Ovis aries: one gene and its partners. The protein of the gene in region 4 interacts with the protein of the main gene of each other region in a pairwise test. Links are inferred from orthologs where the notes say so. Each region holds a gene or a part of one and is shown on either strand. Other genes may lie near its edges.

Region 1 (4,284 bases), on a different chromosome or scaffold from region 4:
TCTGCTGCAGATCTTGGTGTCTCATCCTTTGACTTGCTGCATGTTAAGCAAATGAAACTGGTTTTGTCACAGGTTCAAAACCTATCAAATTTTATGTCAATTAACCTGCAATCTCCTAAAGAAAAGAAAGATTTGCTTAAATTAATCAGAATTGGGTGGGGTTGTTAGAGGGACTGACCTACATCCGTGAACCAAGTGATGCTAAAAGGGGCAAAAGGATTATTTTCAGGAATGTCTACAACTAAGAGGGGCGTTCGATTTTTTTTCTTGCCTCACGGGGCATCTTAGTTCCCTGAACAAGTATTGAACCTGGAAGCAGTATATGAGAGTCCCATTTCCTGGACAAATTCACATACAGTTGGTATGGTCAGACGTTTAATTAACTTTGGCCATGCTAATATGTGTGTAGTGGCATTTTGCCATGATTTTAACTTGTATTACCTAAAGACTAATCATATTAAGCGAGGTTCACATGCTTATTTGCCATCTGTATATGTTCTTTGGTAAAGTTTGTGTTCACATCTTTTGTCTGTTTTTTCCTCCACAAAGTGGTGGCCACAGGCCTTCTCTCACCCCTCCCCATTCCTCCTGTCACTAGAGTGGCACTCTGCCCATGGGCTTCCATCTTGGGGGCTTTGTCTCCAGACACTCTCACCCCATTTCAAACCTAGGGGGAGCCTCATTACTCCCCTCTCATTGGCTAGTGTCCCCGCCCCCAACACACACCCTATGCCTTCAAAGCTTCCTCAAGTCCAGGCTCCTACTGCCCCTCCACTCTCCAGGAGACCTGCCCTTCCCTACTTTGGGGGTCCACCAACCCTATCATGCTCAGGGCCCTGATACCTCCCAGGGTTCCCAACGACTCTCAGGGTGCCCCCACTCCTCAGGCCACCATACTCTTCCAGTTCCCCAGCAGGGAAACATTCAGTGCAGATTGACTGACTGTCTACGATGTGGAAGGGACTTCCCAGGTGGCTCAGTGGTCAAGAATCCGCCTGCCAATGTAGGAGTCTCAGGAGACACGGGTTCGATTCCTGGGTGGGGAAGATCCCCTGGAGGAGGCCATGGCAACCCATTCCAGTATTCTTGCCTGAAGAACCCATGGACAGAGGAGCCTGACAGGCTACAGTCCATGGGGTCACAAAGAGTCAGACACGACTGAGCGACTTTCCACGTAAGATGTGGAAAGCTCTGTTGGAGGCTGCAGTACACCTCGGTAAACTTGGGTTCCGGTTTTGCACCCCATTTTTAGTTGTGAGAGCTCAGGTGGGGCCTTTAACTTCTCTGGGCCTCGACTTTCCCCTCTGACACTGGAATAACAACATCCCCGAGGTGGAAAGAGTTTTCCCTTGGTGATGGGAAAGAGAGGCAGCGGCTGAGGCAGGGCGAGGCCAAGAGTGCGCGCTGGCTCCCAGGGCCAGGACTCCTTGGCGGCTGCCAGGTAGGTCACCGCGCTGGTTGGGGCGCTGAGCACGGGACCGGCCGGCTTCAGCCACGTCCAGGCCCGAGCTGGCCACCAGGTGAGCGCTCCCGAGCGCTCCCAACGCGTTTGCGGGCGGCCGTGCGTCCACCAGGCCAAGTACAGGTCATGGAGCGGCGCCCGGGGGGCGGCACGGACCCTAGGGGAAGCAAAGGAGGTACCGGGCTCGGGGTGGGAGGGTAGTGGGCACGTCCCTGCCAGCCCTCACACTTCCTGTCTGCTCCTCACCTTCTCCTTCTGACAGGTGGTAAACAAAGCCGCCCTGGCGCCCGAGCCGCGGCGGCGGCGGCGGCGGCGGCGGCGGTGGAGGGCAGCGGCCCAGCGACCCCAGCTGGGCTCGAGGAGCCGCACCCCCATCCACACCTGCGCCGCGGGGCGGCGCACCAGACCCCGGGACTCCCAGGAGTCTCCGGGGAGATGTGCTGGAGGGTTCTGCCCAGGATCACTGGGGACACCTGGGCACTGGGCGGGGGGGGGGGGGGGCTGTTAGAATCGGGGGGGGGGTGTGTGTCTGTTGGATTGTGGGAGGTTAGGCTGGAGCCTCTGGGGATAGGTGGAGGGGCCATCTGGGGCTACATGGACCAGCAGGGTTACCTAGGACATCTAGAGGGGCATCGGGAGTGCCTGGGCCACAGGGAGCAGACCGTGTTCTGTTGGGACATCTGGGAGAATCGCAGTCCTTCTGGATATTGGGGGGAAGAGTTTGGAATCTGGGGTTGTGTCGGGGGGGGCCCGTCAGAAACCTCCAGAGATATTCACAGGGTGTTCGGAGGTGTCCAGGAGTGCTGGAGTTAAATAGCTCGCCAGGGATATCGCGGGAGCAGGCGGGGGTCCACGGGCATTCCCGTGATAGTCGGGGGTCCAGGGAGGTGAAAGGCACAGTCGGTGACCTTCGGGACTCTGAAAAGGAGTGGTCTCGGGGATCTTGAGGGGAATTCTAGGTCTTTGATCGTAGGGGGCCGTGAGGGTTCGCTGAGACTCAGGGTGGGCCCTGATCTGTTCTTTTCACTCGCGCAGGCGGTGGCGGTCCCCAGCCCGAGGGCCCCCGCGCCAGACAGTTCCTGGCGCGGCTGGAAGCTCGCCCCCTGGCGGCCCGAGCTGCGGCCGACGTGGCGGCGCTGGTACGCAGGGCCGGCACCACCGTGCGCCTGCGCCCCAAAGAGGGTCAGTGACGGAGCGTGGCCTTCCGGGGGCGTGGTCGGAGTGGAGGGTGGTTCTGAGGAGGCGGGCCCAGGATTGTTAGTTACCCACCTTGGTGTGAGGGCTTCCCTGGTGCCTCAGAGGGTAAAGCGTCTACCTGCAATGCGGGAGGCCCAGGTTCGATCCCGGGTCAGGAAGATTCCCTGGAGAAGCAAATGGCTAACCCACTCCAGTACTCTTTCATGGAAAGTTCCACGGTCGGAGGGGCCTGGTAGGCTACAGTCCATGGGATCGCAAAGAATCGTACACGAGTGAGCAACTTCACTTCTCTTGGTGGGACCAATGAGTGTGAATATGGAGGCCCGCGCTTGGCTGTGATTGGAGGGTCCTGGTTTTAGCCTAGAATATTCCTCTAGGAGGTGACATAGAGAGGGTTATTGGAGTAGTTGAACGCTGCAAGAGTAGCTGTGGGTGCGGAGCTTGATATTTATTTTCGTCAGCGGAGTTTCAAGTGGTATTTCTGAGGAGGCCGTGCCTGGAGAGGGTTGGGGTCGGGCACTGGCTGAGGGGCAGGCCTGGAATGTTAGTCAAGGGGGCGGAGTCTATAAACGCACTGGGAGTGTGGCTGGAACTGTCAGGAATAATAGGTTGAGGTTTTATAGGCTAACTGGTCTTCCCTCGTAGCTCAGTGGGTAAAGAATCTGCCTGTAATTCAATTCAGGAGACCCGGGTTTGATTCCTGGGTGGGATGATCTCCCAGAGTAGGAAATGGCAACCCACCTAGTATTCTTGCCAAATCCCATGGACAGAGGAAGTCTGGCGGGCTATATAGCGCATGGGGTAGCTATAGTGTATGAATCGGACACGATTTAATGACTGCTGCTGCTGCTAAGTCGCTTCAGTCGTGTCCGACTCTGTGCGATCCCATTGACGGCAGCCCACCAGGCTCCCCCGTCCCTGGGATTCTCCAGGCAAGAACAATGGAGTGGGTTGCCATTTCCTTCTCCAATGCATGAAAGTGAAAATTGAAAGTGAAGTCGCTCAGTCGTGTTCGACTCTTAGCGACCCCACAGACTGCAGCCCACCAGCCTCCTCCGTCCATGGGATTTTCCAGGCAGACTTAGTGACTAAAACCCGGCTAATTAGAGAGCAGGACCTGGAATCCTGGAGAAGCACGGCGTAGGGTGGGCCTAAGGGTTTAAAATGAGGGGCAAAATCTATGTTTTATTTGAGGGATGTAGGAAATTTGGAGGATTGCTTGAATATTTGTTGCCAGGGTTGTTAGCTAAGAAGGTGGGATCAGGATGGTTATTCGGGTAGGTGGAGCCTGGATGATTACTAGGGTCTCGGCTTACATAGTAAGAATGGTGAAACCCGGATGTGAATTCAAAGAGAAGCGGCTAGAATGTTTATATAGGGAAGAGCCCTATCCAGTTTCACAGGACCATCATTAAAGATTTTCTTTAGCAATGTGGGAGACCTGGGTTTGATTCCAGGAAGATCCCCTGGAGAAGGGAATGGCTATCCACTGCAGTATTCTTGCCTGGAAAATCCCGGACCGAGGAGCCTGGCCAGCTACAGTCCATGGGGTTGCAAAGAGTCAGATAGGACTGCAGGACTAACACTAGTCTCTTTTATTCTTTAGCCCTTAGAATACCAGAAGG
Region 2 (3,966 bases), on a different chromosome or scaffold from region 4:
TTACGTTTCTTTCCATTAATGTGATCCAAGAAGTTAATGGAGTCTTTCACCACACAGTCACAGACATTGCAGTAGTACCTAGAAAACAAAAAGAAACAACACTAGCTTCAAATTTGCTTATAAAGATTTTATCGTTTTCAGCCAAGAAACTGATAATATTTAGGTAAAAATTCTTTTTAGAGGAGACACTTCTCATTTCCACAAAGCCTTTGCTCTTAGAAGAGTGTGGCTTCCAGCCTCCAAGATGGCCCCCACATTGATGCCACCTATATTCCTACCCTATATAGGCCCTTCCCAATTTGTACCAGGGTTAGTCCATATGATCAATAAATTATATCAAAAGTAATGCTACGTCACTTCCAAGATTAGGTTTTTTTAAAAAAACATGCATTCTGCTTAGTCTGTTCATGTAGATCACCTACTCTGGGGAAGCCACTTGCTTTGTTGTGAGCAGCACTATGGAGTGGCCCATACAGCACAGAACTGAGGCCTCCAAATCACAGTCACGTGACACAGTTTGGACAAAGATCCTCCAGCCCCACTTACACCTCGGATGAATGCAGACCCAGCAGACACCCTGATGTCAGCTTTGTGAGAGACCCTGAGCCAGAACTACTTAGATAAGCCTTTTCCATATTACTTACCCATGTGAGATATTGTGAGCTATTCTTTGTTTTATGCTGCTAATACTGGGTTAATGTATTAACACAAATAGCAATAGATAACTAACACAAAGAGGAAAGTTAACAGTGAGTTTACTCAGAGAAGCAGCTCAGAGAAGTGTCACTTATTGTTATCTGTGTTATGCTCCTGCTGGAAAACACACCTAGACAGAGTAGTAGTGTTAGGCAAAAAGATGAAGAGTTCTTGTGAGACCTTTCTTCCTAAAAGTAAGGGTCTAGGAGGAAGGTGCACAACCAGAAAATACATAACTACAACTTCTGTAGCCAGTCTTGAACCTCAACTCCCTTTATTCATGGTCAACATTTTCTGGGCTCCATTTTAGTTGCACCTAATTTCTCCCCTAGAAATCTCCTGAGTAGTCCTTTCCTTCATTTCTTCCTTTGGAAGGAGAACAAATAATCCCTTTTAAAATATTAAGAAGTAGATATAGTGCTAATATGAAGAAGCCTACAGAGTAACCCCCTCTTACAGACATGTTAACTAGAGACCCTGGAGGGAAATGGATGGAATTACAGGAAACAAGGTTGTTATTCTGGGGGCAGGTACTGAGCGTAACATTTCCTGGCTGCAGAGAAAGATGAAAAGCCACTCACCCTCCCATCTCAGACTGTGGGGTAGTCTTGGTAATGACAATTGTCTTTCCGAGTTTGGATTCCAGGTCCACCTTGTAGTCCCTATGCCGGAGAAGCTCTCGCTTAACTGGCTGCACTGGTTTTCCTGAAATATAATGGGGAAGGAAGTCCCTTCATTATTAGAGTTCCTTAACCAGAAAGGAAAAGAAATGCATAAAGTCCAAAATCCAGAGGTCTACTTTCATTTCTTTTGTGAAACATGAAGCAAAGGACACAACAGTCACTTGTAGCAGCAGCTAAGGAGAAGCTCAACACAAAAAAATGACAAGCAATTCTTAACTCTCTACATCTTTTCTCCACTTTAAAGCCAAAGAATCTAAAAGCAATTTTTTAAATGCATTAATTAACTGAAGGCAAGAGTTGTGAATCTGCACAAAAAGCAACCTTTTAAAAGAACAGCAAGACTACTCTTAAAAGGGAGACCAATATTTGGGAAATAATCTGTTGCATGCCAAGCACTATTATACAAGTTACATAAAAACTAAAAGGTTTAGAGTGTGTAACCTGGTGTGGAAGAAGGCAGAAGAATGTATGGTTTGAAAACAGATGAGAAAGGAAGATATTTTTTTCTACATAGTGGAATCTCTAGAAGAGGAGCACCAACTCCCTGACACTGTCTATCGCACAGAGAACAGTCCTAGACGCTAGGTTAAATAATACCATGTTTCCTGCTGAGAGAAAAAGAGGCTCTTCAATAGTAGTTAACACACAGCAGCGAAATACTCCTCCTCCTGTCGCTACTAAGGATTCCAATCTCTTCTCCGTACCGGAGGAAAGTACTAAATGAGCCAAGCAAAGGCAGAGCAAGGAACCCGAAAATCACAGAGCTGGAAAGCACCTCAAAAGCACTTCAATCCATCTCGCTTTCACCTTATATCTGAAGAAATCGAGAACTAGGGAGGGAATACTCTGCCAGATATTACAGAAGTATGGAGGACAGCGCATTTCAACTCCCCACCCACTCACTCTCCAACCACTGCATCGCCTCTACAACACAGTTAGCACTTAACTAAGCAAGTACCCACCATCCTTCTTTTCTCTCTCTTCCGTGAGCCTCTTCTCGGCGAGCTTCTCATATTCATCTTTGTCCCACTTTCGGCGAAAGTCCAAGTTTTTTGTCTGGGGGAAGAAAAATGCGCTTAAGATTCGCCGCTAATCGTGTCCAACTCCTGGAAAAACTGAAGAAACCGCGTCCACGCTGCCAAGGCGGCCCAGGACCTGAAGAGAGTGAAGCCTCTCCGGACACCACCAGGAGGCTAAGGTTACCTCAGGACCCCAACCCGAGCCCTCCCCGATTCCACAGACCCTGCGCGAGAGCCTCACTGGGGAGCTCTTGAACTGGAGCCATTATGTTGCGAAGAGGCGTCGGGAAGCCAGTTGGGTGTGGAATATTCAACGCCGAGAAGCCACCCTCTACCCGCGACTCCAAGCCTCCTCACACACAACACCTACCCCACTGCCTGACGCCATCTTCACTGCGAAGTGAATGGGAAGCCGGAAAATGCCGTAAAAAGCGGCCTTGAGCCGTAAAGCAAGCTTGCCTCCAATCAGCTTAGAGTCTCGTGTTCTAAACGAGCGAAGAACTGGAGGGCTTCGAAAACAGGATTGTCAGCCCCGCCTCCGCGCCAAGGAAATGGCGCATGCGTAAGGGAAGTATGAAGCAACACGGAAGTAAGGGCGCCTGCAAACGTTTTCGTCCTGGCTTTCAAAACAGGCAGATTCAACTCATCTTAACAAGAGGAAAATAAGATTCAGATCAGTGCTCTCTGATCTAGTCTAATAAACTTGCGTGCATTCCAGGAGTTTCCAAACATTTAAGGCTGAAGCGCTGTTATACGGTCTCAAATGCTTCACTTTAGTGATTCACCGCAAGCACTAAAAATACGGGCTCAGAGCACTTTCCTGAAAAGATTGCAGCCTTCCCAACACACAAATACAAATCGCTTTTTACAGTTTGTCTCTTTATCTTGAAGCAATGCTACCACCCTTTGGTTCACTCATTTTTCCTCCAGCTGAGTACATTAGGGTCATTCAATCCATCAGTTTCAGTTCAGTTCAGTCGCTCAGTCGTGTCCGACTCTTTGCGACCCCATGAATCACAGCACGCCAGGCTTCCCTCTCCATCACCAACTCCATAGGGCACAGTTTAAACAACATGATCGGACTTGGGAAGTTGGGTATCAACAACACTCCCGTGAAGAACTCTAGCAGATGTCTCACTATACACTGATTCAGTGGTGTGACTTTATCTCTAAGTTGGGGGAAGAGGGAACTGTGGTCACTTCCTTCACTCAATACAGAAACATCACCCCAGGGAGATAACTCCTAGTTCACAGAATCCTCCCGTGTACACTCTAGGGTTTTCCATGGCCTACGCAAACCAACCCCTTGATAACAATTACTCAAACTACTCCATTAAAATTTTATTTAATATATTATACAACCACTTCAAGAACAGCTACCTCCATGGCAGGACACAGAAGTCAGAGAAGTGATTCCGGCACAGGTAATGGGCCCCAAAAACATATCTCCATCTTGTCAGGTCACCTATTAAGTTCAACATTCAAGATTATTAAACAAACAGGCTCACCCTGTTATTATTAACAGTGGATGGGCTAGAGAGATGTCACATCAATATGGGCAGTGCAAT
Region 3 (4,145 bases), on a different chromosome or scaffold from region 4:
TGTTTGGGCTGAGGCACAGAGGACCCCAGAGTAACCGGCAGCTTTGTAGTTTTCAGCTGAGTACTTGAGTGTTACAGTGATCCCTTGTGCTGTCTTTACTTTCTGGATTTGACCTTTCTCACAACAAGATAAAAATTTTAAGTCCACTGTGTCCTTATTCCATGTTAGGTACTGTTTTTTTATGCATATTAATGCATTCCAGCCTCTCAACAACTGCAAAAGACATGCTCCTCTCCTTTTTATGGAAAAGGATACTGAAACACAGAGCGATAAAGTTAGAACAACGTATGAAAAAATATGCAATCTTCCTAATAATCGAGGAAATACAAGTTCAATCAAGACCACCTCTTCACTTCAGTAGGTACGAATCCCCAAGTTAGAGAACGTGACCAAGAGTGACTAGGGTGACCACGACAGAGCAGACCAGGGGCTTAGAAGCAGACAGCGCGCAAGGAAAGAAAATGCTCATGCCATCCACACTGGGGACATTCCCAACAGAGACAAAAGATGTGTACTAGGATTTTCAGTGTGTTCTTTTTAGTAAATAAAAACTGGTAAACACCAGGAGACAAAATAAACTGTGGCATATGAATGAGGAAAAATAATAGTAGTTAAAATGCACAAAACAGTCCTATAAATATCTATGTAAACTTCTCTCCCAGACACGCTCAGTGAGAAGAGCAAGTTGCAAAACAAAGCAGGCTGTACAACATAGTTTAATTAGAAAATAAAGCACAAGAATATTCTGTTCACAGACACACGTGCCTGTAAAGGATTCACACGCTAGAGAGATGCTCATCATAGTTGTGGCAAGCCTCCCAGGAGGGGAGGATAGAAAGCAGGTCCCAGGGTGCTTCAACACTACTTTATCTTTACAATAAAATTTTAAATAAGTAAATTTTTAAACTAAAAATCCAAAGTAAAAGCAACAAAATAACTGTTACACCTGGGTGGTGGTGGGGTGGGTGGGCTGCATGGGTCAGGCCTGAAGCTGACAGCAGGCAGCAGCATTTCAGAGCCGGACTGCCCCTCGGGGGTCCAGCAACCACAGCAGCTGTAGGGCCTACCTGGCAGGCTTGCTGCCAGGTGAGTGAATACACGTGAAACCCCTGGAACAGTGCTGCCCAGAGGAAGCAGCACATGAATACGTCAGTTCTCATCCCCACATGGACGTGGCACAGGGACGGGGAGGAACCCTCCAGAGGGACCATGGCAGGAAGGATGGAGGGCTCCCTGCTCTGATCCTTAACTCTCTGCTGGGGGACAAGGCAGCACCCACCCTGTGGAAGCTCAAGGAGGCTTATGACTGATTCATGCACTTTCCTGTATGTACACTACACTTTTCACAAAACTCATGAGGAAAAAGGAAAAAAAGGGGAACCGCACCAAATAAGACTCTGGGCCCAGCAAAAATCTGTAAAGAAATAAGATAACCAAACAACTGAAGATATTGAATAGTTACCCTGGACTACTGATTAAAGAAGAAAATCATCTACTAGAAATCTCAGGAAATATTCCTTGGAAAGGAAAAAGAAGCAAAATTAAACATAATGTACATAAGGAAAACACAACATCATTACATTCGTGATTAAATACGAACAAGGTCTTGCTGTTAAGTTGGTGAGGTGTGAGAGTGACACGGAGGTAATTTTTAACTTAACATCCTTGTCACTTAGGTTAAGCCGGCATCCTGAAGTACTTACAGGCAAAATGCCCAGTAAGTCCTACAACCTGCTTTAAAATACTCCAGGGGCAGGAACAGAGAATACAAGAGCAGCAAAACATTGACCTACCATGACATGTGAGCAGTCTCTATGCTACTCTCCCTAGTTACCTGGGTGTTTGACCACTTCTCTAATAAAATATCTAAAATATAAGTAAATTTTAGAAGTTTCACTTTGAAGCATAGGACAGGTCACGGAAAGGCGGCGGGGGGGGGGGGGGGGGAGGGCTCCATTCTTTTCAACATAAACCCTTCTGTACTCCTGACATACCTGGGGAAAAGTCAAGAAGACCCCCTAATGAAGGATACTGCTAGAAGAACCCCCTGCCTCTATAAAGTTCTCTTCTTCTCAGCATTTTGCTCGGCCAAGAAAAACAAAACTGCAAAGAACTGCAAAGGTTCTGTCCGCAAGTCCCCGCGGCCCTCTCCCCCCCCCCCCCCCCCCCCCCCCCCCGCCCCCTGCTAGTGGCCTAGAGAACTCAAGCCTTACCTGCAGTTTTCCTGGAAGCGGCACTTCCCCTCCAGGAAGAACGGGCAGGGCTTCAGGGACTTGTGAGTGGGGTAGAGATAGAGTACGCGCACGCCCGGGGAGCCGTCGTCCGCCTCCTCGGTGCCCACTACCATGGCGTTGTGATACTCCAGGGTGCCCCAGGCACTGTAGTAGGGGGCGTTCACCTTTCTTCCACTCAGTGCTGCCCCGCCCTCCTCGTCCTCCCCGTCGTCCTCCTCCTGCCCAGGCTCCGTGGGTCCTGGCCCAGTCTCTCTCGAAGGAACAGTCTCCAGTTCTGCCCCGGGGGCTACTGGCACCTCCGCCGTCTCCACGATGGCATTTTGGAAAGCCAAAGGCTCAGCATCCTCCTGGACTGGGCGCTCTCCATCCAGCGCCGCCAGCAGCTTGCTCTTCCTGATAGACACCAGGCTGGCCTCAGTGAGCTCGATCAGCTCCTTCAGGTCTCCCTGCAGCTGGCGCAGGTCGGCCAGTTCCGAGGGATCCAGGCCAGCGCCCAGGGCCAGCTCCACCTGCTGCAGCTGCGCGTCGTAGGTCCGGAGGGCGGTCTGCAGGCTCTCCTCGTCCATCCTGGCGGGAGGGGCCGATTTCCCGCGCCTGCGGGGCTGGGTCCCTGGGTCCTCAGAGGGGAGGCGTGGGAGCCAGAGCTGCGGAGAAGAGAAGCCAGATGAGTCTGGGACAGACGGCCCCCACAACGCCGACACTGAGCGTTGGCCGACTGCAACCCTCGGTGGTCAGCCTGCGGAACCGTGAACAGCAGTCTCTTCGTTTGGACGTGGAGATATTTCAAGCTCCGAGAGGAGGAGCCAAAGCTGGCCCTTGGCCACTAGCCCCACGGCCTCGATTCCCTTCCCGGGAGCTGCCTTCAAGCTCTTCCGGGGTCTATGCGTCCAAGTCTTGTGTCCCCCGCCGGGCCCACCTCTGCGGCCTCGCGCCGCCCGTCTCCGCTCGGCCAGCAACCTCGGGCCAAGGCCCCGTTGCCCAGACCCCCTCGCCCCGGCCAGGCCCTCCTCCGAGCGGTTTCCCGGCCGCCGCCACAGACGGCCAGCCGGCCTCACCGGCCAAAGCCGTCCGGCGCCCCACTTCCGCCCTTGCAGCCCACAGGCGCTTCCGCCCGAGCACCGCCGCCGGCGGAAGTGTCTGGCGCGGGGGCTGCCGGGAAGGCTCCGCCCCCTCCTCGGCCGACCGGCGCCTGTCCCGTCAGGCGCCGCGCGGGTTTAGCGCCGGGTCGGTGGGTCAGGCGCAAGGCGGTTCCCCTGCTCTGCGGCTCGGCGGTCCGGCCGGACGGTCGCAGGTACATCGAGGCGGGTGGGTGGAGCTGGGCCCAGGCTCGGCGACCGGTCCGCAGTCTGTCCGCGCCGCCCGCCCGCCTCACGACTGCTCTGGGCAGTCACCAGCCCTCAGACGCCCCGCCTCTGAGAGGCGTTCGCGGCGGGCCGCGAGCGAAGGGGGCGTTGGTTAAGGAGACCCGAGGGGAGCAAAGCCTGAAGGGAGCCCGGGCGGGGGAGCAGCGAGAAGCGGGGCGGGGCAGGCTGCCCTCTGCCTGCGAACAGAGCGCCCTGGCCGGGCCGGAGAGGGCGTGTGGGCACCTGGAGCGCCGGGGCGATTCTGTAGCAGTTGCGGAGGCGAAGGCGGGCGGAGGGGAAGGGAGGGGAGGCAGAGCCAGGAGGGCCCTGGGCTCCAGCTGTGAGCGGCCGTGCGGGCAGCGGGACCCTCTGTCCACGGTGCGGGCCGTCTCGTCCGTGACCGATCTCGGGTGCCCAGGGCAGGATGTACACGCTGCTGTCGGGCCTATACAAGTACATGTTCCAGAAGGACGAGTACTGCGTCCTGATCCTGGGTCTGGACAACGCCGGGAAGACGGTGAGTGTGGCTCCGTGTCAGCGCCATCCCCCACCCCCACAGTCCTTTCGG
Region 4 (4,279 bases):
GTCCAATGGGGGGATCGCTACCCCATTGGAGCGGTTAAGGTCGGACACCAGCACCTCCAGAATGTCCTGAATCTACAGGAGGCGAAAAGGGAAAAACAAGGGCAGGGGAAAAAGAGAAAAGTGGCTTAGAGAGGCAAGAGAGTCAAGGAAGGAAGAAGACACGGGTTGGGGCAACGGAATGCTGGAGAAGAGAGAAAGGAGTCAGAAGGGATCAATACAGGCCTGGGTCATTTTTCCAAGTAGCCACTTGCTGCCTTGCCAAAGGCAGAAATCAAGGGAAACAAACAGATGGAGAAGTCCCCTGAACAATGCAGTCACATAGCTCCTCAGATGAACAATGCAGCTCTTAATAGCTTCTTAGACCCTCAGGCCTAGACTTTTAAAAACCAGACTTCAGAAACAGGGTCCACTTGAATGAAGTGGCGGCAGAGGGGCTACAGCTAAAAAATAAGCTTTAAAGGCAATAATCTGATCCACCAGTATCATTTTACAGATGAGGAAACTGAGGCCCAGGGGAGGAAGTGATTTTCCCAGGGCCACCCAGCAAGCTGGTGGCAAAGATGGTCTTAAAACTCAGATGGTCTCCTAATCCAACTGCCTGAGGCCCTCTCCTCACCACACTCTGGGGCTCTACTGGGGCCTCTAAATGGAAAGTCTGAGGGCAAGCAGCTGCCTGGCTTTCCCCATGAGGCTGGGGAAGATCACCAGAGCAGTTAAGTCAACTAGCAACTACTCTTTATTGAAAGTCTACTCTGCACCAGGCCCTGTTTTAGGGGATTATAATAAAAACGACGACAATCTCATTTCAACTTCCTTGGTGTAAGACAGTATTACCCCAATTTTACTAATGTGGAAACAGGGATCCAACGAGCTTAAACAATTTGCCTAAAACCATATCCCTTGCAGAGAGAAAGGGAGAATTCAAACCCAAACTTCTTAGCCAATATCTGACATTTCTTCCACAATCTTAACCACTACCCTCTATTGTTGCCCCTTGAGTGCCTCATCCCCGGAAGGCGGTCAGGCAAGACTCACATCCTCAGGTGATGGACAATCACCAGAAGTGGTTGTCTCAGGGCTACTGCCATTCTTGATCTTTCTTTTTTTCTTAGCTCCTGCAGGAACACCAGGGCTGTTCTTCTGCTGATACTCCCTTAACTGTAAAAAGGAAAAGCAGTGAGGCTCATGAGAACTATACGCCCCCTGGATCCACATCCTACTTTACAAAGTTTACAAAATACTCTTTGCCTTCTAATTTAATGCCACAACAACCCTACAAGGGCTGTCGTCCTCAATGACTTGAAATGGACTGATAATGTGGCTAGGAGCAAAAGGTGGCAATGAAAGGCAACAACGGAATTTAAACTCAGCCTTCTGACTCTGAGTTCTGGGATTACAACATCAATCAGCAGCTGCTAGGGGGCAAAATCAGCAGCAGCAGAGGAAATGTAATCATTTGATCAGACATCAGGGTCCCTTCTTCCATCTCTATTAGAGCTGCACACCAGTACTTCTCAAAATTTTACATCAATGTATCCTGATGGCAGAAGGTAGAGAAGACACACACCCCTAGTGATTCTGGAAACATAACCGAAAGAGGACAACCCAAACACATTTCAGAGAGAAGTCCATTATAATCATACAAATCTACGCAAATGTCATCCCTACGTATATTAGTATAAAAGGTTTTTTCTCTCTCAAGAAAATCAAGCAAAACTGATCCATCAGTCCCATATTTATCCTGTGGCACTTGGGCTGCCCCACGTTGAGGTGATGATTTGTGAAAGATTCCCCGTTGTGAAGTTCAGTTTCCCTGGATGTGCTCCTCAGAGGAGCACTGAATGCTGAGTGACGGGCCCACTAGTCTCAGAATCATGGAAAATTAGAATGTGAAGTAGAAACTTCCGATTAAAAATGTGAAAGTCTCTCTGGATAGAGACCTGGGAGAAAACCAAACTAAACCAAACACCTTCTCCCCATGGCCACCCAGAAATACTGTCAATGTTTGGAGATCACTGGGGGAAGTGTAGGCTTTTTACATCAAACGATGGGGGTACAAGTCTAGAGGTGAAGGAGCCTGAAACCCAGGTCCGATCTAGGTCCCATATCCCCCCGAGTCTCCTTTTTCAAGCTGGTGCCGGGACCCAGAGAGACGGGAAAGGATGTGAAAACACAGTGGGAACTGGGTGGTAAAATTTAACACCGAGTTTCCTAGGCACTAATGACAGTTCCAAGGGGCATTATGACGTAGCCACACGGCACTGATCCCTAGCAACGCCCGAGTAGCCGCTCCGCGTTGAGTCGGGGGGCGGGGGGCGGTTGATGGGGGGCGGGGGGGAATGCAAAGGCCAGGACCGAGGTTTTCGGAGTCCGGGAGTTAGGGAGACCAGGGAGCTGCGGAGGTGCGGTTCCGGGCGACAGGAGACGAAGGCCAAGCCTGGTGTGGGAAGCCCCGGGGGTCACCGGCCCAAAGTCACCTGGGGGTGCCGAGTGAAGGCGGCGGAGACTGGGCAGCCGGGGGGCGGAGGGGTAGCGGGGGGCGGGACTGGCTGCGAAGACTTTGTTGGCGGCGGGGGGGGGGGGGCGCCAAGGGGCGCCGAGGGGCTCACCCCGTTGCCTTGGAGGCAGCACAGAAACTCTGGCCATGGCCCGGCCTTCGGAGGGGTCAGGGAGCCGCGAGCCCGCACGTTTTTACCTTTTTCTTGGCCGCAGCCAATTTGCTCTGTCGGGTTTCTTCCGACATCCCGGGACGGGGCGGGGGAAGGGGGGGCCACATCAGCACGATCCCGTCAACCTCTGCGGAATCGCTTCCGGCAGCCTCCGCGCCGCGGTGCCACTCAGCCCAGAGAGGGCGGCTCCGGGGCGGTACTAGGAGGCCGCGGTGTGTTGGAGTGGCCTCAGTTCTCTAACCCCATTGGGTAGTGGGAAAGATACGGGGCGGAGACGCACGGCTAAAGCCGCCGCTTCGCCCGAAAGAGAGGGTGGAGTCACAAAAAAAAACACTGAAAGCGCAGCCGCAGAATAAGCGGCCTGTCCTGCCCACCTCGGCGGAGAGGACTGAGCCGGCTCTCGCGGAGTGCGTGCGTAGCTACGCTTTGTGACGTTTCTAGTCTCCGTCACAGGATTCCAAGTACCTGGCGGACCTGAGGAGACTCGTTTCCGTCCTCGCTCTGGACCCTCCTTCTCTGCAGCGCCCCCCGAGTCGGGGGCCCCGGACGCCAGGGCTGAGGAGGTGGGCAAGGAGCTGATAGCAGGGGGAAAGCACATCTCTTCCCAGTCCCTTTTCGTGACACCCCTGTAGCTCTGCCTGAGACTTTCTCTCCTCAGAGATCACTTCCATAGACGCACCCCGCGCCCCCCCATCCACTCCAACACTCCTCCCTGTCAGAAACTCCCCTTTTTCGAGAATCCCTACCCTGATCCCAGAACCATTCTCTGTCCCCTTCCCAACCGGATCCAGTCTGGGTTCACAGCTGTTCCTCCTCTCCACACCCCCACAGTACCCCTTTCCTCCCCAGGCGGCCTCTAGGTCCAATCAGACTTCTTCCCTCGGCTTCCTCTGCAGGATTCAACCAGGACTTTCCAAAAGTTGCGGCGGGGCCTTCCGATCCCCTGTGAGTATGTAGCCTGTGCCCCCTCCCTGCCCTCCCCCCTGCATGCTGCTCCCAGCCCTTCCCTCCTTCCCTAACAGCGGCTGACCCACCCCCCAGCCCTCCTCGGGGTCTTCCCCCCAGCTGACCTGATTCCACAGAGAAACTCCAGGTCATTTCTCAGTCCTTCCCCGTCATCTTTTCCTCCTGCCCGCCAGGCTTCAGAGAAGAAACAGCGTTCCTGTCCTTTGTCAGGGTTACCCCAGACCCTACAAAGGGGCTCTGTCTCTCCTCCTCCGTGACATCGCCACAAGTGGTTGGCTGGTTTTGTTCTTTTCACACCACCCTCCTTCCCTCACCCATTCCACCCACGTGGAAACCACTCTCATTCCCTCAAACACAGGTGCTCTCTCCTGCCCTACAGCACTTGCATATGCTGTCCCTTGTGTGGAATACTTTTTTCCAGCTTTTTGCCAAACTGATGCCTCCTCAGCCTTTAAAGTTGAGCTTCCTCGGAGGAGTCTCAGCTCCACTTCAGGCTCGGGCCACTTGCTCTGTTAGGTGCCCCCTTAGCGCACTGTACTTCAACTTCAAAACAGTTTCCAGACTGCTAGGTAGTGAATTGGTTGTTTTTCCTTCATTCATTCACTTGGTGAATTCATTCGAAATAGTACTTTCTATGTGCCAGG
Region 5 (2,852 bases), on a different chromosome or scaffold from region 4:
CCAATGCAGGAGACCCTGATTCCATCCCTGGGTCCAGAAGATCAGGAAGATCCCCTGGAGGAGGAAATGACTACCCACTCCAGTATTCTTGCCTGGGAAATCCCATGGATAGGGGAGCCTGGTGGCCTACAGTCCATGGGGTCAGCAAAGAGTCAGACACTAGTTAGGGACTCAACAACAACAACAAATACAAACAATAGCCATTTTAATGAAAACAACAAGAGTAATGAGCTGCTGTCCTCTTTGTTGGGGTTGCAGACAACTATTTTTTTTTTTTTTTTTTTTTTACAGTTTATTCAGGAATACCTGTTACTGCCTGAAGGAGGGCATGGCAACTTGCTCTCCTATTCTTGCCTGGAGAAGCCCATGGACAGAGGAGCCTGGCCGGCTGTAGTCCATGAGGTAGCAAAAGAGTCGGACAAGACTTAGCGACTAAATAACGACAAAGAGCACCACGACCGCTCTGCGGTTTGTCTTAGAAAAAGCATTCGAGATAAAGGGAGTTTTTAAGGGACTTTATTTTCTAAAAATCCATCCTACCTATATGATTTTTTCCCCCGCTAAATCTTCACTTCGTTAAAAACGATCAGAAACAAAGACGCTTATTTGGATCCAGTCTCGAGTCCTCCCAGCTCCTCTTTCAAAGCGTGGAGGTCCCCCAAGAGAAGTTCTGCGCTCGGCCTCTCGGGAGCAAGGGCCGCCCAGCAACGCTGGACGATGCCCGCCAACGTCTTCCTGGGGACCGAGTCGGTGAAGACGGGTGCCCGGAGAGCGGGCCGGAGGTGGTAGGCCACCACGGCATAGAGCACGTGCTGCCGCTCCCCCGAGAAGGGCGCCTCCCGCGTGCTCATCTGCCAAAGGGTGATGGCGAAGGAGTAGATGTCGGCCTTGGGTGTAACAGGCTCTCCTTTGAGGAGCTCCGGGGCTCGGTGAGTGTAGGTGCCGCCCAGGTGGTGAGGCGTCCACGGGCTCCGCAGGTCTTCCAGCCTCACGGAGCAGCCGAAGTCCCCGATCTTGCAGACATCCTGCTCACTGATGAGGATGTTGGCCGGTTTGAGGTCCAAGTGCACAATGCTTTGCCCGTGGAGGAACAGCAGGCCGCTGACCACGTCTAGGGAGTACTTTAGACACCTCTCCAAGCCCAGCTGCGCGCCAGAGTCCCCGGGGCAGCCGGTGGGGCCGTAGATGACCTGGTGCAAGGTGATGTTGCCCCCGAACTCCATGATGACGGTCCCCAGGCTGTCGAAACCCGGTGGCGGGCGCGTGCTGGCCGCCAGCACGCGCACGATGTTAACATGGCGCAGCCGGGCCGCGTTGAGCTCGGCCCAGAAGCTGCGCCTTGACGCCCGCGAGTTCTTGGAGCACCCGCTCACCTGCTTGACGGCTACTCGCACACCGTGGTAGGTGGCCTCGTACACTGAGCCGAAGCCCCCCGCGCCCAGCCTCCGTAGTAGACGCACCTGCTCCCAGTCGATGGAGCACCAGGCTAGCCGACGCCGGAGGCGCGGGGCCCGCGGCAAGATGCCCCCCAAGAGCTCGCAGGGGCTGCTGCAGGGCCGCGAGTCCCCCGACGACGGCGAGAGGTCGCCGGGCAGGTGAGGGCGCCGCGGGAGGGGCGAGGGCATCTCTTCTGCAGCGCAGGTGAGCCGGCCTGGAAGAGGGGATCCCGTCGGCCTGCAGGCATCACTGGCTGCTGCCCCTCCGCTCCGCCCCCGTGTTTGTCTCCTCTGCCTTCATCTTCCCCAAAGGAGCCACATCTGTGCGGTTCCTTAGCGAGGACTTTTATCAGCTGAGGAAACCATCTGAGCGCAGGCAGCACCGAAACCCCATTCAGATGAAGGTATTTCCCTTGGGCACTTACAGTGAATTCTTATAAAACAAGCCCTGGAAGAGGGTTCACCGGATAAACAGTTAACTTGCCCCAGGAATCACCCTCTTCCACAAGTTCTTTAATTATTATAAAGCAGGCTTCTCCCCTACCCGTCCACCCCCACTCCAAGTCTCATCCGCTGGGCGTCATCGGTCCTCAGATCACAATAGTGCAATGAAATTTTTTTCACACTTTGCAGGCTATAATGATTGTCAGTTTATTCTCCAGCTGCATTAAATCACTTCCAGCAGTTATTGGCAGAAAGAGTTGAAACATGAACAGCTGACAGTTGTTGAACCGATTACAGGGAAAATTAGGTGCAACGTTCACGGAGGGATGAAAAATGGTAAGCTGAAAGTGATCGATCCAAGCAGAATTGCTGATACAGGTCACAGCATAAACACTCTGAGTTCATAAAGGAAAAGAAAATTCTCTGACACCCCATTCAGCTGATAGAGCAAATTAGCAAGACTTCTTAGCAACATATGGCATCCTTAGCAGTCTTTGGGGTCCATGGCTGTCTGGTGCACCCAGTACGCTCACTTGCAGAAGAGATTTTAGACTTCACAGCAAATAAGTTACAGAAGTTTTGAAGCAGAGTTAGAGGAGGAAAAAGAATGAAAATGATTCAGAGCTACAAGCAGAGCGTCAAATAATAACAAATACGAGAGATCTTAGGAGAGGAAAAATCTGAAGAAATAAAAAGAGTCACAGTCATATACTGTTCCTCCATATACTGTGGAAAATCAGATGTTGAGATTAAATCCAGGATCTTGCTGTTCAGCCGTGAGTTCTTCTGTTCTAATTTTTATTTTAAAAAAAGACAGTTTTCATTTCATACCTTTGGGGAAAAAACCAACAATAACACCCTGTTCATGAAAAAACACAGGAAGATGTTAGGATCTATGTTTTGAAAAGTCAAATGGTAAAGCTCTATCTTGACTTTATTTTTGCACTTAGAGCATATAGGTGATGTGTAAAC
Region 6 (4,079 bases), on a different chromosome or scaffold from region 4:
TATTGAATACTGGAGCCAAAAAGGTAGTCACTTCATGTGAACTGTTGCGCAGCACATGAGAAGTGTGAAATAAATATCTGTGAAATGAATGAACTAATTAAACTGATGTCCTGTTTTCCACAAAATCAGTAAACAGTAAGAAAAAGTACTCTGAGAAAAGATGCCAGCTTCTGTAGTTGACATGGGCAAATTAGCACCTTTAAGAGGCTCACAGCTGGCTAAAGAAAGCAATGGGCAATTGTGATACAGCCTGATAAATGCTATGCCTGTCTGCTAAATTCTCTCCAGTCTTGTCCAACTCTGTGACGCTATGGACTGTAGCCCAACAGGCTCCTCTGTCCACGGGATTTTCCAGGCAAGAATACTCCAGTGGATTTCCGTGCCCTCCTGCAGGGGATCTGAACCCAACAATCAAACCCATGTCTCCTGCAGCCCCTGCATTGCAAGTGGATTTTTTTTTTAAATCGTTGAGCCACGGAGGAAGCCCAATAAATGCTAACAGGGAGGTAAATATAGGGTCCTCTAGGATCACAAGAAAGGAGTTGTCTTGTATGATTTCATAAAGAATCGTAGGCAAAGGTAAATCTGAACGTGGTAAATATCTAGACAGAAGGAACAGAAAGTGGCACAACTCAGCAAGAGATGAGAATTTTTAAGTAGTTCATGTTGCATAACATTCTTCCAGAGTAACTGAAGAATTTGATGACATAATAATATATGCGAAGATATCATGACCGCTGAAGTGCCATATGAAAGTCGCAGAGTCGTGTCCAACTCTTTGTGACCCCATGGACTATACAGTCTATTGAATTCTCCAGGCCAGAATACTGGAGTAGGTAGTCTCTCCCTTCTCCAGGGTATCTTCCCAACCCAGGGATCAAACCCAGGTCTCCCTAACTGCAGGCGAATTCTTTACCAGCTGAGCCACAAGTGCCATATGTTATTATAAACAAGAGCAGACCAGCATAATATTCAAAGAAAAAGAAAAGATGATTTCGGAGGACTTCTAGTGAAGTCTTCTCTGACTTAGACTTAAACGCTAGACCCTCTGACTTTTCCCCCTACCCCAACAAAATGGATGGATTTAGTAGTCTCACGGGGCGCTGGGACAGAGGAGGCCTTAACAACGGTTCTCATTGGCCTTTCAAACTGAGCCTTTTGGACAATTGGCTGTGAAGGTTTCCAGAGGCCACCCCACAACGCTGATTGGATGAGGAGTGGCCAAGTGCCCACCTCCTCTACAGTGCCGTTTAGTCTTGTTGCTTGGCAACCGATTTGCGTCTTCTTGCCCAACCGGCACCCAGTTAATTACACCTGTGAAGCGGAGACGGTGACTGGTTAAGAACACCCTGAACTTACGCTTCTTACGCCCACTTCACGCATAAGCAGCACGAGTGGTCTCAGGGTTTCATCCACATTTATCTTCAGGCTGGGCTGTGGGCTGGCGCGGCAAGGACACACGGCAGTGGAGAAAGTGCTCAAGTCTTCCTTCTGAAGTCCTCCTTTAGAAGAGTCAGAGGAGAAAAGAAAGTCGCTGCTACGTGCCCAACTTAGGTCCACCTCTCTTGGGAGTATATATACAGCATTCTGAAGCTGGAGAAAGCAAGTATTTATGTCAGTTAACTAGGTATAGGAGAGTGACCCATAACCTCAGACACTTGCCTCAGAGCGAACCGTAGTAGTGAGGGGACAGGATCAGAGGATTTTTTGCCTTATCATGTACAGCAGAGCTTACATCTTGCTAAAAAGAGAATTCCAAGAGTTGAAGAACAACAATTATGAGGTGAGTATTGGAGACGTGGAGGTTGTGTTTCATTGGGGTACGAGTTTTTAAAAGCAGTTTAATCTGTGTTTATTCCACAAAGCATAATTGAGTTAAATCTAATTTGCACTACAGACTTGTTTAATGAACCTATTTCAGTATAATAATCTGTTTCATAATAATTATTAGTATTTCATAATAGTAGTTAACAGTATTGAGCACACTGTGCTGAGTAATTTATGGACTTTAATCCCTGAATGTAACAGTCTATCAGGTAGTAAATAACCATTAGTTATTTAGTTAGTGAATGCAGGGTTGCATTCACTAATTATCAATTGTGCCTGCATGTTCAGTGGCTAAGTTGTGTCCGACTCTTTGCAACCCCATGCACTGCAGCCCACCAGGCTTCTCTGTCCATGAGATTTTTCCAGGCAAGAATACTGGAAAGGGTTGCCATTTCCTTCTCCAGGGGGTCTTTCCCACCCAGGGATGAAACCGAGGTCTGCTGCGTTGGCAAGTGGATTCTTTACTCGATACCACCTGGGAATCCCCTCAATTATCAATACAATATTGTAAAGTAGGTAGTGTTTTGTTTTACCTACCACAAACCTAAGCCTCAGAAAGCTTTCAGTAAATATTTGGGCTCGGGATTCCATCACAGGGTTTTTTGACTCCAAAATCCCTTGCTCTTAAGTCTTGAGTTCTTTTTCTTCCTGTCTAGTGCACTTTTTGCCAATTGCTGTGACATATAACACATAAGTGTCTTTCCCTTATAATTTCATTTTAAAATTTTTATTTATTATTATTTTTGGTTTGTGCTAGGTCTTCATTGTTTTGCACAGTAATACTTTCTTTTCCCTCCATTGGAATAATGCCTCAAGTGTAGGAAAATTTTATTTTTACATATGAGCATAATTTTAGAGTTGTGTTTTTCTTAATGAAAATTTACTTCATGCCTAGTATAGCATCTGTAGGGTTTTTTTTAAAGCTATGAGGAAATACATGCTTTCCAACTATTCCTTTCTTTTTGAATTTGAATCTTAAATTGTCTATAGAATTACATAAGTCACATATTCCATTCTTGACCTTCCTGTCCCATTTGTGATTTTCATACTAATGATTTACTTAAAATTTACTATTGCATGTATTTTCTGGAATCTACCTTATCTTCTGTGTAATAAGACAGTATATAACGCCTTCTCAAGTCAAACATTTTTATCAATAAAAGAAAATTTAGAGCTTTTGGAATTCATTGTAACCTAATATCTGACTTCCCAAACTGCAATAAATATTTAATCTTTTTTTCTGCTTTAATTTTTCTTGATGTTTAGGGTATTACTGCCTTTCCTATAAGTGAAGATATGATGCAATGGGATGTTGACATTGAAGGTCTACAGAATACAATTTGGCATGGTTTGTGTTTGGGAAACCAATTTACTTTTTTATAAAAGCCTTTATATTATTAGCCTAATTTCTTTAAGGTTGCACTGTATAAATTTTCTAGAATTCCTAAAGTTTTCACATGTTAATTTTTTCATTGTATGGCTTAATTTTTTGCCATTTGTCAACATGGATGGATATTTTAGGTTTGAATATTTCTTTATGCCCAGTCTTAATGTTATCATGTTTTTAAGAAGCAGACATAGGAAAACATATCAACTGAGAATATCATCTAATAGTCTTCCATGAATTCAGAGAATAACCAACAAAATGCCTGATGGAAAAATCCCACAATTATGTCTCTTTTTTTTTTTTCTCTATGATTTTCCCACAGATGTCCATAAGTCAAGTTCTCAAGAAGACTAGGCAACCATAAACTTTAATGACCATGCCCTCTTAGAGTTGCAGATTAACAAGATATATTTGCTTAGTGAGATAGGGGAGAAAAGCATGTAAGTGGATAATTACAATAAAATATAACATGTCCTGTTATGAATTTTGAATGGAATACTTGGGAGGCAGTGATTAGTTAATTTTGCCTTGGAGAGTCAGGAACAGCTTCCCAAGGAAGTGACACTTGAGTTGGGTCCTGAAGAATGTCTGAGAATTCACCAGGTTTAGAATCAGAAGGCGGAGAAGGCAATGGCACCCCACTCCAGTACTCTTGGCTTGAAAATCCCATGGACGGAGGAGCCTGGTAGGCTGCAGTCCAGGGGATCACAAAGAGTCGGACACGACTGCACGACTTCACTTTCAGTTTTCAGTTTCATCCATTGGAGAAGGAAATGGCAACCCACTCCAGTGTTCTTGCCTGGAGATCCCAGGGACGGGGGAGCCTGGTGGGCTGCCGTCTCTGGGGTCACACAGAGTCAGACAT
Region 7 (3,349 bases), on a different chromosome or scaffold from region 4:
CCCTCTCACGTGGGTCTTAGAAGCCCAGGCAGGAAAGTGAATGCAGAGAGCCTCTGTGCTCCAAGGAACTAGCCTGAAAAAGAGATAAAGAGAGAAAGAAAGTACAACATGGGGCAGCCAAGCTTGTGCAAGACCCGTAACTTTATTTTCAAAAGGAGCTTATATACCCTAAGTGTTACATAATGGAAGATGCAGAGTCATGCAGGGGCAGCAGTCCCGGCCCTTATTGATACCAGGCTTTCTTTCTGCATACCTTTCTGTATACAAAAGGTCTCAGGTGATTTACATTATCTTCTGGACAGGAGACCTGTTAATATTTTATGGCTCTTTTCCTTGATAAATGTTAATCAACCAGAAAACTCATTTTCCCTTGAAGTGTTTTTTCTTTAATCTGCATCACCCTCAAAGTACTAAATAAAGTTACATTCCTACAGAACAAAGGTACAGTGGGTTACAACAAAGAAAGTACTTAACTCAAAGATCTAATGTTGCTAATGCCAGGGCTACTACCTGTTTTCTCTATATACCAACTATATCAATAAATAAAAGATACGAAAACTCGGCAGCAAGTATTGGCTCAACAATGAAACCCTTAATCAGTTCTATTCTAATGATTTTTAACTCCTCGAAAGGCTCTACATTCCTAGAATGTTTTAAGCTTCCTGTGCCTCTCACAGTTGGGAAGCCGTAAACAATCACATGCGTAGTTGAAAAAGTCCAGATAAACCTGTCAGGCAAGTTAGAAAGCTATCAGAGGGGTTTGAATTGAAACACTCTTATTATGCCCAGGAGACTTATTAACCAAAGCTCTACATTGATTTTCTTCAGAGAAAGGTGGTCAGGGATAGCCCCCTGTTAATGTCAGAGGAGTTGGTGAAAGTCATAAAATAGTAAGACAGATAGACTCTGGTTTTTGGGGTAGATGCTCGAGCAGTTCCAGGGGATCCCTCGAGTCCTGATCCGCCTTGCCCGTCAGGTCTCTCCGCATGACCTTGTCATGGGTGGGATCTCCCGTGCTGGCTCCCAGCAGCTGGTGGGCTTCCCCTGAGTAAACAGCTCCCAACCCACAATCGGGCGGCTGGGGAGTCCTGACACAGAGACCATGAACCTGCAGTCCCCACCGCCCAAAGCTGTCAAGTGGGGTCCCGTTGGCACTTCAGTTCCTCTTCTCACCTGTTTCCTGCTTTAGCCTTTGTCAACAGTGGCATCTGCAGTTTTATCTGCCTGGGGGTATAAAACTGAATAGCTCCTAAGGGAATCCTTGGTCAGCTACTAGTTTTCAGCCACAAGTGGACTTTTGAGACCATAGAAATGACCACGGCAGGAAAGCTATTCCAGATATGTAGGCATGGGCCCAGCGAGTCCTTCCTCCAAACCCTCATCCCCACAGCTGGCTAGGGGTTACTGCTCAGTTAGGGGTCTCCTCTGCACTCAAATCAAAGACAAATGTTTGATGGGGAAGAACTAAAGAGGATAGGTCTGGAGGAAGACCCTGTAGTAAACCCCACAAAGTAAACTTAGGGGTTCGAGTTCAGAAAATTGTTTCAGCAAGTGGAGCCCCTGGACCTGAGACTTCCGGGTGCCTCTGGCACCAACAAAGGTCCATCTAGTCAAGGCTATGGTTTTTCCAGTGGTCGTGTATGGATGTGAGAGTTGGACTATAAAGAAAGCTGAGCACAGAAGAATTGATACTTTTGAACTGTGGTGTTGAAGACTCTTCAGAGTCCCTTGGACTGCAAGGAGATCCAACTAGTCCATCCTAGAAGAGATCAGTGCTGGGTGTTCATTGGAGGGACTGATGTTGAAGCTGAAACTCCAGTATTTTGGCCACCTGATGTGGAGAGCTGACTCATTTGAAAAGACCTTGATGCTGGGAAAGATTGCAGGCAGGAGAAGGGGACAACGGAGGATGGGATGGCTGGATGGCATCACCAACTCGATGGACGTGGGTTTGGGTAGACTCCGGGGTTGGTGATGGCCAGGAAGGCCTGGCATGTGCGGCCCATGGGATTGCAGAGTCGGCCACAGCTGAGCGGCTGCGCTGGCCTGGCTGGAAGGCCCAGGACCCAGGGGCAAGTGAGTGTCCCTGCAAGGTGTCCCCTCAAAGTGTGAAAGGTCACTCTAGCTTTTCCAATAATCTGTTTTTGGACTAATCCCTTCAGTTCTGTCTTGAAAGGATTCCTATTAGTTCGGCTCTAAATGTGAATTTGTTGTTCAGTCATGTTCGACTCTGTGACCCCATGGACTGCAGCATGCCAGGCTTCCCTGTCCTTTCCCATCTCCTGGATTTTGCTCAGATTCATGTCCATTGAATTGGCGCTGCTATCTATCTCATCCTCTGCTGCCCCCTTCTCCTGTTGCCTTCAATCTTTCCCAGTATCAGGGTCTTTCCCAGTGAGTCAGCTGTTCACATCAGGTGGCCCAAGTATTGGAGCTTCAGCTTCAGCATTACTTCACTGCAAATGTTGATTTTGTTTTAAAATTTTTTTTTTGTTTTGTTAATGATTGTTAACTCCCACAGGGAGTTCTTGATTAATAGATTTGGGATAGCGCAGACAAGTTTGCCTTTCTATAACAAGGTGTCCAGTGTTATGGGTGCTGGGGAAAAGGTGTTGATTTGGGAGTTGACTTTGGGTTCTTTCACTTACTTGTGATTCAACCTGTTTCTCCATCTGAGAAAAATTAACAATTGTACCTACCCTTTTCGGGATTAACATAAGGTTTCAGTAGGATTTTAAGATGATCTACAGTCCTGTCGACCTTTTGGTTCCACTTACCCAAAAGGCAACCCACTCCAGTACTCTTGCCTAGAAAATCCCATGGACAGAGCCGCCTAGTGTCCATGGGGTCGCAAAGAGTTGGACATGACTGAGTGACTTCACTTTCACCCAACCATCCAGTGTTCATAAAGTACACACCAGGTCTATGCCTGGCACTGATCACAAACTTGGCTTTGAGTTTATATCCCAGGTGTTACATTGACATTTTGCTGATTGATTCCTTCAGTGATGTTCAAATGTTCATGGCAGGAAGTTAGGAAAACTAATAAATAGGCCCTTTACTATTTCAGGGTGACCAGGGATTTCCAGATGAACCTGAAGAAAGCAAAAAATCTGATGCTAATAACCAGACAACAGAACCTGAGCTTAAGGAAGGGAGCAAAGTGGTAGCTCTCTTCAATTACGAGGCTACCCAGCCAGAAGACCTGGAGTTCCTGGAAGGGGACGTAATCCTGGTGATATCAACAGGTAAGTGCTACTCCCAGAGTGCAGAAACTAATGTACATGTTAGCAGCAATAAATATAAGGGAAGAGAGAAGAAAACATCAATCAGCTACAAACTTTAGCCA

Evidence for each region.
Region 1: the proteins of GOLGA2 (region 4) and GPKOW interact in binary tests that used the Homo sapiens proteins (3 or more experiments, as listed by UniProt). The two-hybrid records come from large-scale screens. The link is inferred for Ovis aries from reciprocal best matches to the Homo sapiens genes GOLGA2 and GPKOW.
Region 2: the proteins of GOLGA2 (region 4) and ZMAT2 interact in binary tests that used the Homo sapiens proteins (3 or more experiments, as listed by UniProt). The two-hybrid records come from large-scale screens. The link is inferred for Ovis aries from reciprocal best matches to the Homo sapiens genes GOLGA2 and ZMAT2.
Region 3: the proteins of GOLGA2 (region 4) and ZGPAT interact in binary tests that used the Homo sapiens proteins (3 or more experiments, as listed by UniProt). The two-hybrid records come from large-scale screens. The link is inferred for Ovis aries from reciprocal best matches to the Homo sapiens genes GOLGA2 and ZGPAT.
Region 5: the proteins of GOLGA2 (region 4) and MOS interact in binary tests that used the Homo sapiens proteins (3 or more experiments, as listed by UniProt). The two-hybrid records come from large-scale screens. The link is inferred for Ovis aries from reciprocal best matches to the Homo sapiens genes GOLGA2 and MOS.
Region 6: the proteins of GOLGA2 (region 4) and UBE2U interact in binary tests that used the Homo sapiens proteins (3 or more experiments, as listed by UniProt). The two-hybrid records come from large-scale screens. The link is inferred for Ovis aries from reciprocal best matches to the Homo sapiens genes GOLGA2 and UBE2U.
Region 7: the proteins of GOLGA2 (region 4) and NCF2 interact in binary tests that used the Homo sapiens proteins (3 or more experiments, as listed by UniProt). The two-hybrid records come from large-scale screens. The link is inferred for Ovis aries from reciprocal best matches to the Homo sapiens genes GOLGA2 and NCF2.

Annotation. Positions count from the first base shown.
Region 1 is NC_056080.1:55,987,511-55,991,794, forward strand, and holds the start of GPKOW (G-patch domain and KOW motifs-containing protein), read left to right. Parts: upstream 1-1,484; 5' UTR 1,485-1,637; intron 1,638-2,497; 5' UTR 2,498-2,644; intron 2,645-4,265; 5' UTR 4,266-4,284. UniProt on the Homo sapiens protein: RNA-binding protein involved in pre-mRNA splicing. As a component of the minor spliceosome, involved in the splicing of U12-type introns in pre-mRNAs.
Region 2 is NC_056058.1:49,485,854-49,489,819, reverse strand, and holds the start of ZMAT2 (zinc finger matrin-type protein 2), read right to left. Parts: upstream 2,801-3,966; 5' UTR 2,787-2,800; coding exon 2,769-2,786; intron 2,436-2,768; coding exon 2,342-2,435; intron 1,402-2,341; coding exon 1,278-1,401; intron 79-1,277; coding exon 5-78; intron 1-4. UniProt on the Homo sapiens protein: Involved in pre-mRNA splicing as a component of the spliceosome.
Region 3 is NC_056066.1:53,744,868-53,749,012, forward strand, and holds the start of ZGPAT (zinc finger CCCH-type with G patch domain-containing protein), read right to left. Parts: upstream 2,801-4,145; coding exon 2,214-2,800; intron 1-2,213. Other genes in the region: ARFRP1 (ADP-ribosylation factor-related protein 1), read left to right, coding at 4,002-4,094. UniProt on the Homo sapiens protein: Transcription repressor that specifically binds the 5'-GGAG[GA]A[GA]A-3' consensus sequence. Represses transcription by recruiting the chromatin multiprotein complex NuRD to target promoters.
Region 4 is NC_056056.1:8,010,824-8,015,102, reverse strand, and holds the start of GOLGA2 (golgin subfamily A member 2), read right to left. Parts: upstream 2,801-4,279; 5' UTR 2,777-2,800; coding exon 2,696-2,776; intron 1,159-2,695; coding exon 1,036-1,158; intron 73-1,035; coding exon 1-72. UniProt on the Homo sapiens protein: Peripheral membrane component of the cis-Golgi stack that acts as a membrane skeleton that maintains the structure of the Golgi apparatus, and as a vesicle thether that facilitates vesicle fusion to the Golgi membrane.
Region 5 is NC_056062.1:36,287,818-36,290,669, forward strand, and holds MOS (proto-oncogene serine/threonine-protein kinase mos), read right to left. Parts: upstream 1,693-2,852; 5' UTR 1,626-1,692; coding exon 603-1,625; 3' UTR 501-602; downstream 1-500.
Region 6 is NC_056054.1:39,650,965-39,655,043, forward strand, and holds the start of UBE2U (ubiquitin-conjugating enzyme E2 U), read left to right. Parts: upstream 1-1,279; 5' UTR 1,280-1,717; coding exon 1,718-1,783; intron 1,784-3,093; coding exon 3,094-3,175; intron 3,176-3,536; exon of another isoform or gene 3,537-3,654; intron 3,655-4,079. UniProt on the Homo sapiens protein: Catalyzes the covalent attachment of ubiquitin to other proteins.
Region 7 is NC_056065.1:64,044,095-64,047,443, reverse strand, and holds part of NCF2 (neutrophil cytosol factor 2), read left to right. Parts: intron 1-3,070; coding exon 3,071-3,248; intron 3,249-3,349. UniProt on the Homo sapiens protein: Subunit of the phagocyte NADPH oxidase complex that mediates the transfer of electrons from cytosolic NADPH to O2 to produce the superoxide anion (O2(-)).